3 linked regions of the Caenorhabditis elegans genome follow. The protein of the gene in region 2 purifies or fractionates together with the protein of the main gene of each other region. This does not show direct contact. Each region holds a gene or a part of one and is shown on either strand. Other genes may lie near its edges.

Evidence for each region.
Region 1: the proteins of lbp-6 (region 2) and ilys-5 fractionate together in Caenorhabditis elegans (co-fractionation; one large-scale study listed by BioGRID). This does not show direct contact.
Region 3: the proteins of lbp-6 (region 2) and ctsa-1.2 fractionate together in Caenorhabditis elegans (co-fractionation; one large-scale study listed by BioGRID). This does not show direct contact.

What each region holds. Positions count from the first base shown.
Region 1 is NC_003284.9:6,532,965-6,538,711, reverse strand, and holds ilys-5 (lysozyme), read left to right. Parts: upstream 1-1,871; 5' UTR 1,872-1,934; coding exon 1,935-1,968; intron 1,969-2,600; coding exon 2,601-2,713; exon of another isoform or gene 2,714-3,455; coding exon 3,456-3,572; intron 3,573-4,310; coding exon 4,311-4,367; intron 4,368-5,064; coding exon 5,065-5,163; 3' UTR 5,164-5,222; downstream 5,223-5,747.
Region 2 is NC_003279.8:6,727,796-6,731,277, forward strand, and holds lbp-6 (Fatty acid-binding protein homolog 6), read right to left. Parts: upstream 1,582-3,482; 5' UTR 1,572-1,581; coding exon 1,365-1,571; intron 811-1,364; coding exon 610-810; 3' UTR 501-609; downstream 1-500. Other genes in the region: mec-6 (Mechanosensory abnormality protein 6), read left to right, coding at 88-246; ant-1.2 (ADP/ATP translocase), read right to left, coding at 2,262-3,164.
Region 3 is NC_003280.10:11,737,362-11,743,401, reverse strand, and holds ctsa-1.2 (Serine carboxypeptidase ctsa-1.2), read right to left. Parts: upstream 4,045-6,040; 5' UTR 3,882-4,044; coding exon 3,826-3,881; intron 3,721-3,825; coding exon 3,501-3,720; intron 2,806-3,500; coding exon 2,413-2,805; intron 2,285-2,412; coding exon 1,935-2,284; intron 1,705-1,934; coding exon 1,539-1,704; intron 835-1,538; coding exon 655-834; 3' UTR 526-654; downstream 1-525.

The DNA.
Region 1 (5,747 bases), on a different chromosome or scaffold from region 2:
CACTTAGAATACTAAATAGAGTTTGTTCTCAACTGAGTCTTCAGCTTTCGATTCCTTCCTGTCTTTATATAAAAACATGCGCTTCTGGGAGTAAGTTTGTTTTTATTAGATAAAAATATTATCATTCCCTTGTTATCTTTTTGTTATTGTGTTGAATAATCAAACAAGATAATTTTCATTTAAGTGTGTGAAGCGTCCGACCAATTCAGAACATTCCTACTATAACCAATGTAACAGTCTATGTATAAAGTCACATGTTACCACACATTTTATGATTTTTACGGAACTAAAGAAGAGTTTTTAGAAACTACTTGGTACATACTTATCAGAATGGTTTGCACGAAGGAAATTGGTCTTGAATTTCAATTTTCTCTGCCGCTTCTTCCAATCTCCCAGCACACCCATGTCTATGAAGCAAAACCAAATTGCGATGGAATCGGAGCAATTTTTGATATCAACTGATAATGTTCATTCGTTTCCGAAAAGTCTTAACGAGGCGAAACCATGCCGATCGCACTATTTACAGATCATATTATAACAAAAACGGTTTGTGTTTCATTATTTGATAGCACAAACTGTAGACAAGGAAATACGCACCTAGTTTGGTTTGCTGGAAGAGCATGACAAAAGAAAACAATTCTCCATAAAAGCGTCTAAAATGTAACAATGAAGATCGAAAAGTAAAAACTTGTGGCAAAGTTCTAGACTGGATAATTGATGCGACAACCAAGTGGTTTTGTTGCGTTTTTAGTCACGATTATTCCAATTCAGGCTCTCAAATGACGTCGTCACACATAATGAATGAATTATGACAAAACAGACTGCACTACTGAAGAGAGCAATGCGGAACGAGGATTCAGTGTGTAAACTAAGGTAAATCCGCGTGAACGTCGTAACTGCTTGGATTTACTGTCTATTCACTCATTAGTGAGTGATATACTTGTATTGAATGAAATTTCCTAAAGCTCCCGTCGTTACGGAATTCACGGTCAATTGAATTTACAAAAACCGTCCGTATTCAAAAACATTATTATAAAATGAATAAAAATTGAATTGTTCGATGTTTGATTGTTTACTGTTTTGGTTTTTGTTTAGATTATTCTACTTGTACTTGAATTGTCCTTTTAACATTTTAGTGAAAATAATCAAGCTTGAATGAGTTTTTTTTCAGTTTCACATGACTTAACCCTTGCACAAAGTTGTTGAGCCGGAAACTAAAGCTTACTCATTAGAAAAATTTACCTACTACCTGATCGTAGTTAGGGTTTTTACAAATAATCTTTGTGTTAAAAGAGAAAAACACGCTTGTTTTGTGAAAAGAATGCTGGTTCGAGATGTATCTGGGGAACTGAAAAACGTCGGTTCAAAAATTAGCTCAATATTATTTTTAATGGAACTTTATAAGAAAAAAACATCATCACATAAATACGAAAATCTAAATATTACCTCATTGAAATTTGAATAACAAAAAAAATGGTCAAAGACACAAATAAATATAATCTTGATCCTATTTCAGAGTATTTCCTCGTCCACCCCCACCAATCAAAAGTATATTAGGAAGCCGCGTTCTTTTTGACCCGAAGATTGGATTATAAGATTAGCAACAGAGGTGTATCCTTTCACGGAAAATTGCAGTCCATTTCAATAATCACAAGATTTCTGATTTGTTGCATTGTGTTGGTTTTCTGGGGAAGGATATACGTTTTTCTAGAACTATCCATGCCACACTTTGATTGGCATTGAAAGTGGCATCAATTGCTCTTTCGCTCTGCGATCACAGAGCTGTAACTCCGCCTCTGACAGTCTTCGGTACAGGTGCTTACGTAGGAATTACCGGGTTTTGAGATAAGGAATTGTGATCAAAGGCACGTGTAAGTTGATATAAAAGAGAGTCCAAAAGTTAGCAAACTCAGACAGCTTGTCCATCAGCCGATATGTTTGTCAAATCGCTTCTGCTCCTTTCTGTCGGTGAGTGTGATAACAAAATTAAAACTGGTTTCAGTGAACAGCAAAATTGTATAAGATCTAGTAAATCACCAGCTCAAAAGAATTAGATCAAAACCAACATGAAATTGGATTTTTAAGGTGCTAATTTAATTTCAATGTTTACATTTTCTTTTTTTTTTAGTTATCAGTTGAAAATGTTTCGATAAGTCTGAACACTGATGCGTTCAATCAATTAAAACAAAACTAGAGAAATTTTTAATTTCCATAAGGCTGGTAATATCTTCTTTTAAAAACAAAGAATGAAACGTCATTTAAAGTTTAATATCGGCTAACCAAAGATTAATCTAGACTCAACTACTCCCATATTTAGTGTTAACTCTTGTTGTTGTTTGCTTGTTTATAAAATTTTATCGGATGAAAGTTCGCTTAATATTAGCTCAAATCATTTCTCGGCTCACGGGACATCTGATTATAGGTTTACAGCTAATAGCACGTTTTGAAAGCTAAATATGTGTTTCACATTTGTAAAAAACAATAGGGAAAAGTAACAACAATTATAGATCGAAGAAATAGGAGAAAAATAAAAATAAATTGAAACTTTAAAAAAAGGCAGAGACAGCGAATAGAACTATTTCGTGATTACGGTATTTCAGCTATTGCGTACGTTTCCGCCGACTGCCTCCACTGCATCTGCATGAGAGAGTCAGGATGCAAACCAATCGGTTGCCACATGGACGTTGGATCCCTCTCCTGCGGATACTATCAGGTAAATCAAGATCAACTAGGGAATATGTGAATCTAGAAATGGAAATAGCAGAATATCAGAACACGTTTTCAATTTTGTCATGAAACCATACAAGATGTTCGGTTGCCTGTTTATTGTTTTGCCATTTAAATAAGGAAACAATAACACTTCAGAAAAATACGTGAAATTCAAAAGCTCATCTTTCATGTCTTCATTAATTGATGGTTTTTGAAATCGGCACGAAATGTTTGTTATGCCTCATTGAACAGATATTTCTTTAATGAAAATCTAGCATAATTGAAACGGTTCATCGGACCACAGCCCCCATATTTTTCACATATCTCTTCTCAAGCGAATCGGAAGTTCCTAATCAGTATGGTAAAATAAATCGCGTTGAATTTTAATTTTGAGTTTTTTCGATAAAAATGTATAACAAGAAACGATGTTTTAAATTGCTAAAACAAAAAAACCACAAAAGAGCAAATGCGTACTTTCCCGAGGAAATGGACAGGAAATGCTTTGAAAATGTTAAAACGGGATTGATTTTTGTATAGGGGAACTTTTGCATTGAAGCTAAGAAGATAAAAGGCATACTAGAAATGAAAACTTTCAAAACCATGTAGACAAGGAAATTGTATGGAACAACAACAAGGATATACAAAAATTGAACTCTACTCTATGTATTCCAGTTTTTTTTAATTTTAAATGTACCAAGACCCAACTATAAAAAGTAAAGAATAAAAATATAATATGTTTCTTTTAGATCAAGATTGGATACTATGAAGACTGCGGACAACCAACAAAGAAGGCTGGAGAGACTACTGAAGCTGCCTGGAAGAGATGTGCTGATGATCTTAACTGCGCTACCACTTGCGTCGAGGTACGTGCAGATTTAGCAACAGGATACATGCAAAAAAAATCATCAAAATTCTTATTTTGGGAAAACGGGTGTTGAGTGGGTGCAACTTTTCATCCTTAAATCGCAAAATTCCGGATAGACTGCGGCTTATTTCAGTCATGGAAGCAATTCTATCCTTTGGGAATCTCGTCATATCATTCTCAAAATTAAAAACTTCGCGACTAAATTTAGTGTACGAATTACGTGGATCGCCCACCTGAGAACTCAAATTTCTACTATCTGCCGCTAATTGAGGCAAATTAATTTAAACGTCATGTAGACAATACTGCGATGAGTAACTTTTCTGCAATTTCAACGGCGGAACTAGAAAAAAAGGAACTAGCTCAAAATAAGTTGCGAGATAATGTCAAAAATCACAGAATTAACCTGTAAACAAAAATGCACACATAGCAAACGAGCCCAGCAAAAAACGTCATTGTTAGCTTCTATGTATGGCTATAGCGGTGGCGACGTTAACGACATCAAAGACAATAAGTACTTATTGTTATCAACACCCCGCTAACAACGTGCTTACCACGCCATAAAAAGTAGCAAAGAAAGATTATGACGGCTTGAAAAGAGGTTAAAGAACTCTAATACGGAATGAATGTTTGCACTCTTCACAAAATTTATTGAATACGTCAAAAATCACATATACAAAAGAGGAAATCTAAAATTTTAAAATCTACATGTTATACAAGCATTTTGAAATAATTTCAGAACTACTACAACCGCTACAAGTCTCAGTGCAATGGACTTGGAATGGGAGCTTGCCAGGTGAGTCGCCTACGCAGTTGTTGTTTTGCTCTGGGCACTTTCAAATTGTGTAGATGAAATACAATTTAAAGTTTTCGAGTGTCTGGTAGTTTGGAGGAGGTTGCCCCCCGATTTTGATTTTTGAATTGATCAGAAGGAAACAAAATATTTCATAAAGTGATGCGAAGTTTTAGGAAAGATACAAAAATTTCCGCGAAAAAGGGGTCAGAGTTTTTTATTTAGAGCAAGAATGCTACTACGCAACTAACTATAAGAGGTTGAAAATTAAATGTCGAACATTTCTATTTTGGGTAGCAGGGGAAAACATTAATATGCCATAGTCACTAGGTAGGTGAAACGACCCTCTGGAATAGAGAAATTATTGCAGACCTGAACAGGTCTGACGTAGAAATGTCTAGAGCATCCAAGTAGTATTCCACCAAAAAATGTACATATACTTCCTGACAATTTTTGGAAAATTCTGACGACAGAAACACTACAATTTTTTCTCGATTCTTTATCTTTTAATCATTTTGGTCACACTTGAGCAGTTTTTTAACATCATTTCATTGAGTGGACATGTGTATTTGACAATTGATAATAGTGGGACTAACAATCAGAAAACTACGTAGCATTTTCAGAAGTATGTTGTTTTGTTCAAGTTAGGACAAAAGACCTTAGATTTCAATCAAGCAAATGGCAATCCATTCAATTTCAGATCATGTCCCGTAACCACAACGGAGGACCACGTGGATGCCACAACGCCAACACCTTGGCTTACTGGAACGGAGTTAAAAGCTGCTGTGGATGCTCTTAATTTTCAATTTTATCAAAATAAGAATATATATGAATCAATAAAGCTTATTTAAAATCAAAGTAGAAAGGATATCAAACTTGTTTATAAGCTTTTCAAAACATAGGTTGCGAAAAAATGCGAACGTTTTGAAAAATAATTGAGTAGGCGAAGAGGTCAGTGGGTTTAAAATGATGTCAGAGTGAACAATTTATGAGAACAAGCATATCGTTTTCTAAATTTGTAAAGGTCTAAGTAGACCACCATCTATGTCATAGGTTGTATCTTAAAATAAGTTGACCCGTTTTATGATCTAGTTTTATATTCTTTTTGCCTCTGGTGAGAATAAACAAGGCTTTCAATTTGTCTGCTCGATGATGCATGATGTTTACGATACTTTCGGATTAAAATAATCGTGAGATGGATTTGCACGAAAAGGTTGCGGAACGAACAGCTCGAATGATATTAAATGATAATCTCGAATTGTCAACAAAGTACATTATGAAGTGATAGGAACTGTTGTTCGCAGACCTGAGATGTTTTGAAAACTTGATTTTAAAACCTACGCAACCGGAAAATTAAAGATCACAAGATTTCTGTGAGGATCA
Region 2 (3,482 bases):
ACTCTGTTTCCACGTTTTTTATCAATTCATTCAAATACTAATCAATGCGAAAAAGCGTCAAAAAATCAAAAATCGCATTTGTTTCAGGAAGAAGGCAACTCTTGGGTAACAACTGAACCGTATGCAAACGATGGAGCAACTATTTCGGCGAGTTCATCAGTTGTATTCACTGATGAACAAATGTTAATTGGAAGTTCATTTGGAAGACTTCTTCATTGTGATCTTACGCATTCATATATTACATAGTCAAACTTTTAGAGCTTATTTAAAAAATAAACCGATGAATATGATCTAGAAACAGATGTGTTGTAGACATTGTATCTAGATTTATTTATAAACTTGTCGAGGCGTAACGGGGGCGCCACGCCTCCACCCCTTTTCAATAGCCTTCCAGCGTTTTAGAGGAAAGTCGATTTATGAGAATTTAGCAGCTTTCAAATTAACTAATTTCTCGTCACAATTAGTCATTCTTAGTGTCTTGATTCGAAGTCTGATAATATATTTCTCATTTATTGCCATAAAGAAATAATTGTAATACTTTAAATTTCAATATTTACTATTAAATATCACAGGAAGACAAGAACAAAGCTCATGTTGGGAATTGAGAATCTATTCGCGAACGTACTCGCGGCGAGAAACAACGGATCCAGATTCAAGAGTAGTGATAAGCTTGTCTCCTTCGAGCCAACGGGTGATAATTGATTCCTTATCAGAGTCCTTGATCTTCTTTTGAATGTGAATGAATTTTCCGTTCTCGAAGTTGACAACTGACTTGACGGTACGGCCATCTGGAGTGGTCTCATCGAATTCCTGGGATAAAAACATTAAATATAAGTCTGAAGAATGCTAGTTCAATTTCAGGGTTGAAACAATTTTTATTGGATACAATTACTTGGAATTTGGGGATAACTTGCTCAAACCAAAAGCTCAAATGGATAGGATAAAATGTTGGCAGGAATTTGCTCACAGCAAATTGTGGGCAGAAAGTCGCTAAACTTTGTCCACAATTGCCGATATCAACGAACGTGCATTTTGAAATCAGATATTGTTTCTCATGGCTTTAAAAAAATATTATTCGTGCATGAAAAAACACGAAAACTATGGGAAATACATATTGTTTATCAAAGTCTTATAACAAGAAATCAATGATCATTTTATGATTTATGGTTTGAAATGTTATCACCTGGAATTTTAAGACTTTTTGTCTGTGAATATGGAAGTAACAATTTTTATTCATAAATTTGTAGTGCGTTTCTTTATTTTTATGTAACTTTTTTGTCGCAAATTTGGAATCAGAAAACCCACATTTTTTTTGATAACATTATTTTTGTCTTTTGTAAGTAAAAAACTTTGCACTTTCTTACCTGTCCCAACTTGAAAGAAAGAGTGGTGTTCTTGAATGTGGAGTATTGGTTGGAATACCACAAATCTCCTTCGACCTTGATTTCCAAAGTTGGCTTCAAGTTGGCAGCAGCCTTACGAGTGATCAATCCAACTCCAACCTCCTTCATGTACTCCTCGAAGTTCTCTGAGTGAATGAGCTTCCAGCGTCCAACGAATTCTTGAGACATGGTGATGGTTCTGTAAATAGAAGAAGTTGGAAAAGCAGGTAAAAAGTTCAATAGATTAACGGATATGTAATAGGTCTGAATAAAACGTTAGTCTGAAATTATGGTTAAAAAATCTTATTTTAAAAATTAATTTTAGAAGATGAACTATCATATCACTTGCAAATGGAAATAAAAGAAAAGTTGCAAATCAACAAGAAAACGAATGGCAATGCCTTGGGAAATCATTCGTATTTAGGTGGTCTGATAAATGGAATGATAGGGGGCAAGAGTGGGCGGAGATTCAAAACGTTTTCTCTATTTCTGTCTCCTCTATTTTTCGTTTCGTTTTTTTTTGAAGAATGATTCATTTTTTGATTCGTTGCATCATTTTTGAAAAATAAAAATAGAAAAGAGGAAAAGTGAGGAATTTTCAGTCGAATAAAAACAAAAATATTATCAAAAAAATTCTGAAATTTCTGAGGAGGAAAATATCGTTTTTGATTAAAGTATATCTAAGTTTTAATTTTTTTTAAATTTATTTTTTTTTGAGGTAAAAAACTAGTATCTTGTACATATATAGAAGCCCATTTTCAAATTGTGAAACTTAAACAATCTTCTTTTTTTTAAAATAAAGTAAAAATGCATTTTAAACAAAAAAATTTATTGGCAATGTTGTTTCAAAATTAACATATACATACTTTAATTCTGTAATTAAATTAAATGTTGAATCTCATCATAAATTGTGAGCACAAGAGCACCTCCAGTTGCTCGGAATACATTTGAAAGACCTCCTTTGTATAATGCAGTAATTCCTTCATTCTTCACAATCTTTCTAACACAATCCAAAGTGTTTTTATAGAGAATATCCTTTCTCCCTGATTGCATCATCATTCGACGACGTACTGTATCCCATGGATATGATAAATATCCAGAACCAACTGTTCCAACTTGAGCAATTGCCCATGTCGTAAAGAAATTGAGTTTTTGCCCGTCAGTTGAGTACAATGTTTTGGCAGTATCAAACATTCCGAAATATGCTGCACGATAAATTATAATTCCTTGTACTGAAACAAAAAATCCTCTATAAAGACCAATTGGTCCATCTGATTTCACAATTTTCACAAAACAATCCGTTAGACCTTGAAACTCTCTATCCACTCCTTTTCCAACATCGGCTCCAAGACGAGTACGCACAAAATCCAGTGGGTACACGAAGCATAGAGATGTTGCACCAGCTGCTCCACCAGAAGCGAGATTTCCAGCAAAGAATTTCCAGAATTCTTTATTCTTGTCAATTCCTTCTTGAAACATCTTCTTATAAGTGTCTTTGAATGCAAAATTCAGCGCTTGCGTTGGAAAATATCGAAGCACATTTGCAAGGTTTCCTCTCCAAAATGCTGCATATCCTTGTTCTTTTGGCACTCTAGCAAGAACATCCATAATTCCTTTATATTTTTTATCGGCAGTTACTGTTTCAGAGACATCACTGACTTGAAGTAGAAGCTTTACACGTTCAATTGGAGCAACGGCAGTTTTTGAGATTGCTGCAGCAGTGCCTCCGGAGGCGAGATCAACAAGAAACTTTCGATAATCAAATCCTTCCTTTGTGGTCATTTTGTCCTTCTGGAATGTTTTTTTTCAGAGATTATATTTCCTGAATGCTGATAATAAAACTTTCTTCAAATGCGAGTAGGAAGGAGCTCACTAGACTCTTCTCAAAATTTTGGTCATGAAAGTCTAATCAATATAAAGAATAAAATTAATTTAAAAAAAAAGAAAAATCTAAAACAAAAGTGTTTCTTTAAAAATTGTTGAAACTAATGAAAAATTTTACGGAAAATAAACAAGGCCTTTTTTAACAGAGACAGAGAAAAGAAAAGGGTTTCTGGTCCTTTAAAACGTCACTCTGCGTAAACAAAAACACTATTTTTC
Region 3 (6,040 bases), on a different chromosome or scaffold from region 2:
GGAGTACAATTTTGAAATCGAAAAGCGAACGCCACGCGCATCACTAATCCTAAAACCCCCACATCAAGAAAAGCACAATATGAGATCCATTCTAATTATTATTTCCTCCCGATATATAATTATTTAAGCTTCTTTTTTTCTCTATTTCTGGTATCATCTTCTCTCATTTCTCGTCTTCTACACTAATTTAATTGACTCCCCCCACAAATCTTCACCTCTTTTTTTTGTCTTCTATGTATCCCATCGATCCCTTTCCAGACCGTTTTCAACTTTTTCACACACACAAAACCCCCTAAGTTTTTTTTTCTAATTTCTTTTAATTCTCCTACCACCGTGATTTTGTAAGTTCTTCCGATCGCAAAATTAAAGATAAAAAAGTTCTCATTTATTCGGATAGCTGCCACTTCTTTTCCTCTCTTCTCCCCCTCAACCCCCCACATCTGTTTAATCCATCACAATTCTTGAAAAATGAACATCCCCCATCCCCCCATCTCTTCTTTTCCCCAAAACACCCAAAAAATCTTATTTCCCTTTTTATTCTTTTTTATTGTTTCAATTTCCAAATTCTTATAAATTGCTGGAACCTTATAACCTCTTGTGAGCTCAGTTTTTCAGACATTTATTTCAAAATTATTATCATTGTTCTCCTAACGATTAGAAGGCCTTGTTGAACAGGAACGATTGGATGATGTGCTCGGCGACGGCTGGCTTGTCGGTTGGTACCATGTGTCCGGCTCCGCGAACAGTGGCGAATGTCACCTGGGATCCCTTGTACTGTGTCACGTATCCACCGATTTGACCCTTCACAGTGAAGTGGGTCTTCTTCTTGGAGAGCTGGAAATTAAATTATGGAATTTTTACAAAACATTAAAAATCTTGGGTCTCGCAGCGATTGAGAGCTTATTGTTTAAAAATACGGTACCCGGTGTCTCGACACGACAATTTTTATGAATGCAAAACGATGTGCGCCTTTAAAGAGTAATATTTTCAAAAAAATAATTTTCGATGAAAAATCCGCAGCAACGGAAGTTTGAAACTACAGTACTCTTTAAAGGCGCACAGCTTCGCTCATTCAACAAAAATTTATCGTGTCGAGACCCGGCGCCGTATTGTTTGGAAAAACTTTGGGTCTGGATAATATATAGATATCTTTTTATTGAAAAAAGCAAAAACTGTGGTTTATGCCCAAACAAATACGGTGCCCGGTCTCGAAGCGATTGATTTTTTTTTGAATGTAAAAGATTTTGCGCCTTTCAGGAGTACTGTAGCTCGAAATTTTGAAATTTGCTTTGCTGTTTCATGATTTTTTCTCACAATTTCATGCATTTTGAAATATTTGAAATTTTTAATTCCCGTTTTTCGAACTTTTTACTAAAAATGAGACTAAATTGAGAAAAAACTACAGTACCCCTTAAAGGCGCACACTCCTTTTTCATTTAAAAAATCGATCGTGTCAAAACTAGGTACCGTAGTATTGAAAATCACGAAAAACTAAAAAACATCTGCGCCTCTAAACTTTTAAACATAAAATAGCCTACCGTAAGACCGAGCTTGTCAGTGAATCTCTGTCCCATAAGAGCATTACAGGCCAAATCGACGTCTCCGTTGTAGAGCATCATTTTCAGATTGTTGTTGTTGACGGCGTTCAGAACACGGGAAGTCATGTCTCCGTATTGTCTCTTGTAACCGTACGAGATGGCGTTACTGGAAATAATATCATTTTACTGTGGAGCATGTAGGCAAATTCGCCCACCGATTTTGAGTAAAATATTTGGAAAAGGTATATCTTATTTGCTATTGGACATACAAAAAAGTTGTCGGCAAAATGTGCAAAACTTTAAGAGCTTTAATTTGTTAGTTGACAACCTTTTTTTAACACTTGTAGATTTTGAGATATATAGGTTTTTACACAATGCAAAATTTTAGAATCTTACCTGCAAATCGACCAAGCTGGAAGAGAAGATGGAATTCCGAGTGCCTTACGCACATCCTGACGGTTCAAATAATTGGTTACTGGGCTCTCATCAAGACATGGAACGGTTCCAAGAACCTCTGGTGTGTACTTCTTATTGAATCTTCTCTCATACTCCATTCCGAAACGGAAGCTTGCGCTGGTGGAGATGCAGTCGGCGTACATGTTGTATGGGTTGAGACCTCCGTTCCAGGCGGTCTGTTGGGTAGCTTCAACGAATTCTCCGCAGGCCGAGAACTCGCTGAACGAGTGCCATGGGCAGGCATCAGTGTCGTTGTGGCAGCACGAGGTCTTCATGTGCTCCCATTTGGCCTGGAAGTGTTTTTTTATTGAAAATAGATTTAGGCGTATGTTTAGGTTTGAGCTTAAAATGAGGCTTAGGTTCAGGCTTAGAATTAGGCTTAGGCTTCCTATTTTCAAATATTCAAAACTGCCCCAACCTGATCAACAACTCCGTGATGGTACAAGAAGTTGACAAGTGAGTCAACTCCCTCGTTAGCTGAAACACATCCGTTTCCGATTGCGAGTCCCTTAATATTGATATGAGATTGTGATTGACGATCCAAAATAGTCTGAACAAGTGTTGGAACATAGATTCCACCGTACGACTCTCCAGTCACATAGAAATCGTTTCCCTTGTATTGTGGGAACTCATTGAAGAAAGCGACGAGGGCTTCCCAATTCTCACTGGCTGTCTGGTCGTCTCCGGTTGCAATATTGTTGTCTGTGGCGTAAGAGTATCCAACTCCGGCTGGAGCTTCAAGGGTGAGAATTGAGGCATTCTTGTTCCAGGAGTATGGATTGGTGCGAAGGGTGGCTCCGTCGGTGTTGACCTGGAAAAACAAAACTGTTAATAAATCTTCTTTGTAGGTGCTTCTCTACCTTTTATGTTTGCTTAAATTTCAGCAAAAGTGACATGTTTCTAGATGTCACTTGAGAAATAACTTTTCTTAAAATATTTCGATGTCGTACATTTTCAAAAATTCACGATTTAAAACAAAATTTCTAACGGCAATTTTTTTAAACACAATTTTTTATGGTAACAATATATACTTTTTTAATAGTTTGTATCTCGCTTATTTTAAAATTTATCAAACATTTGTAAACTACAAAGTGTAGATCACAATGTGATGCACATTATAAGTAGTTGGCGGTTTTTGATAAATTGAAAATGGTAGAGATAAGAGCCATCAAAGTTGACATATATAGTGTCCCTAGAAAATCGGTAGGTGGGCGAGAAAAAAAAACATGAAAACTAGAAGTAAAAACAACGGAATATTATCAGTGATAGTGGTATTGTTAGAAATAAAAAAAAACATATTTTCACAAGAATATAGGAAAATGGAGTAATTGGGTTTCAGGGCACGAAGACTCAGAGGAACTATAGAATATTGTAGCTATACATTTTTCAAATAACACGAACCTATTTTTTGGAACCTCTTTTTTACCTTACATGTTAATTTATCCACAATATTTTGTAGCTAAAATGTTAGCTTTTTGCGCAATTTTCCGCTCCCCTCAAACTCACATTCCATGGTCCCCACTCGGTGAGAAGAGCTGACAATCCGGAGCATCCTGGTCCACCGGTAAGCCAGAGAAGAACTGGATCAGTTGATGGGTTGCTTTGAGACTCGACGAACCAGTAGTGGAGCATATGATTCTTCTTGGTTCCCACATTGTAGTAGCCCGAATATTGCTTGAAGTTTGAGATTGGAGCTCCAGGGAGATTTGTGATCAGAGCGGATTCGCTGAAATGAGAAACTACACAGTTGTTTTTAGGTTTTTTGTATTTTAATTTTTTAATAGGCGGTAGGCAGGCATGAAAGCTTAGAAGCCTTCTAAAGGTTACTTACCAAACATATGCGAAGCCGAGGAGCGCCACAAGTACAAGTGTCCTGCTCATGACCATCCTTCTTGTGATAAAAATCAGAAGAAACCGTACTTTTCCTAATACGGACTATATAGTGACAGAATAGGAGGAGTCTGTCCCGCATTTTTATAACCTTATCACTTTTTCAGCTTATCATCTGATGTTTTAAGCCGATTGTGCCCATCGTCGCGTCTGAATCTCTATCTTTTGAAACTGTACTGATAAGTTGATAACATCATCAAGTTCGGATCCGGGAGAAGGCAGCCAAGAGAAAAGTGGGGATTGTTTTAGTGCAAGATAAGTGGGATGCACTTCACGTACCTCTCTTCAAACAAAAGTTGTAACCTGCGGGAGTTCATATTTTTCGAGAAATTGGTTCAGAAACATTTTTAAATTTTTTAAAAATTAGTTTTTAATTGATAATTTGGATTTTCAATTGCTAATTTATTTATTCTAACTTCTACAATGTTTCAATCTGCCAATCTGAGTAAAAGCGGCTGGCATTTTACAGGCTCAAGGGGGCTTTTATTTTTATAGGACATGTAAAACAAAATAGAATCTTTAAAATTGTAGTACAATAATTCCAACAACGTGTAATAGCGGCCGACGTCTTACGGCTTCCAACATGTTAGAAAAAACTGACAGTAAGTTTGGGAGCTCATATCTCTGTGCTCATTGATTTAATCAAAAAATTTTAACTACAAACTTATGCGTCATATTATAATCTATAGTTTTGTAGTTGACATATTTTTGATAGCACTGAAAATAACCGAGATATGTGCACCAAGAACTCTCTCTTTCTTTATCAAGGCCATGATTCAACTTGTTTTTATTTTGTTTTTAACGTTTACCGGAAATATATACACGCTGGAAAATTTAGAAAGTTTTCCTCAAAAACTATAATTGTTTTTTCTGCAGAAATTTGGAATTTTTATTGCTAAACTCTTATCAGACGACAACATCCGCCTGTAGTATGTTTTTTTTCTTCTGAAACCAACTTTCGATTTTATAGCCTCGTGTGCAATTTTCTCCAACTGACGTCAGTGCTCTTCGTGGAATTACAAAATTGTCAGCAAAAAACAGTTCATCTTGGGGCAAAGTTGAGGGGATTATCATTATTGCAGACACATTTATGATAAGAATCATTCACGAAAAACGTAGTTTTCATAATTATTGTGCACAATTTATGAAAGTCATTTGAAGGGAAGGAAGAAAGTTAGGGGAAGAGTTGGAAAAAGATTAGAATTTTAGGGTTAGGCTTAGGCTTAAGATCAAGCCTATGCTTAGTCTTAGGCTTAGGTGTAGGTTTAGGCATAGGCTAAGGCTAAGTATGGGCTCAGGTTTACGCTTAGGCCTAGTCTAAGACTTAGGACTAGGCTTAGACTAAGGCTTAGACTTAGGCTTAGGTTTAAGCTCTACTTAGGCTTAATTATAACGTAAGCTTAAGGTTGGAGGTTGGTTTTTTTTTAGTTTTTTCAAGTTTTTAATAATTTTTGTTAATGTTCAAGGAATGTTAAAGTATATTTATAAAGAAAATTAAATAAATTTCAGCTAAACAATCGCAATCGAAAGGCTGAAAAATTGTGCAATCAGAAAACAAAAAAAGTATTCTTTCTGAAATTTCAGATTTTGAATATATATTTTTTTTATAAGCTCATCTCAAAGTGTCCCCCCCCCCAGAACTTGGACTGAAACATATAAAATCTTTAGAAAAATTGAAAATCTTCACCATGATTTGTTCAAACAAAATCCCGTCTCAACTTCAAATTCCGACAAACCCAAATCCCTGAGCGGCACCCCATAAAAACATGTTTTGAAGCATCTCTCAACACTTTCTTCATTTCTTTTACTTTTCTAATTCTATACAATTTACTTTGAAACTATTTTTCGATGATGATCATCATCATCACCATTCTACCGAAAGATTGTCAAAAAGTTGGGCAAGCCTCGAAGAACCGACGAGAGAGTGGGTAATCCTGAAGAGACGCAGGTCCTTGGGAGTGAAAAACCGGTCTCTCTATGACAATGACGACGAGAGAGAGAGGATTCTGTCATACACTTTGTAATAGTCGATATGAAGAGAATGAGTACTATGACACTATGGATTATATCTTTATATCTTTCATCAATTAGCTTGTTTGTCAATCACTCATGATTTTCCTGATTTTCCCGCCACAAAACTTTCATCTTTTGCTTTT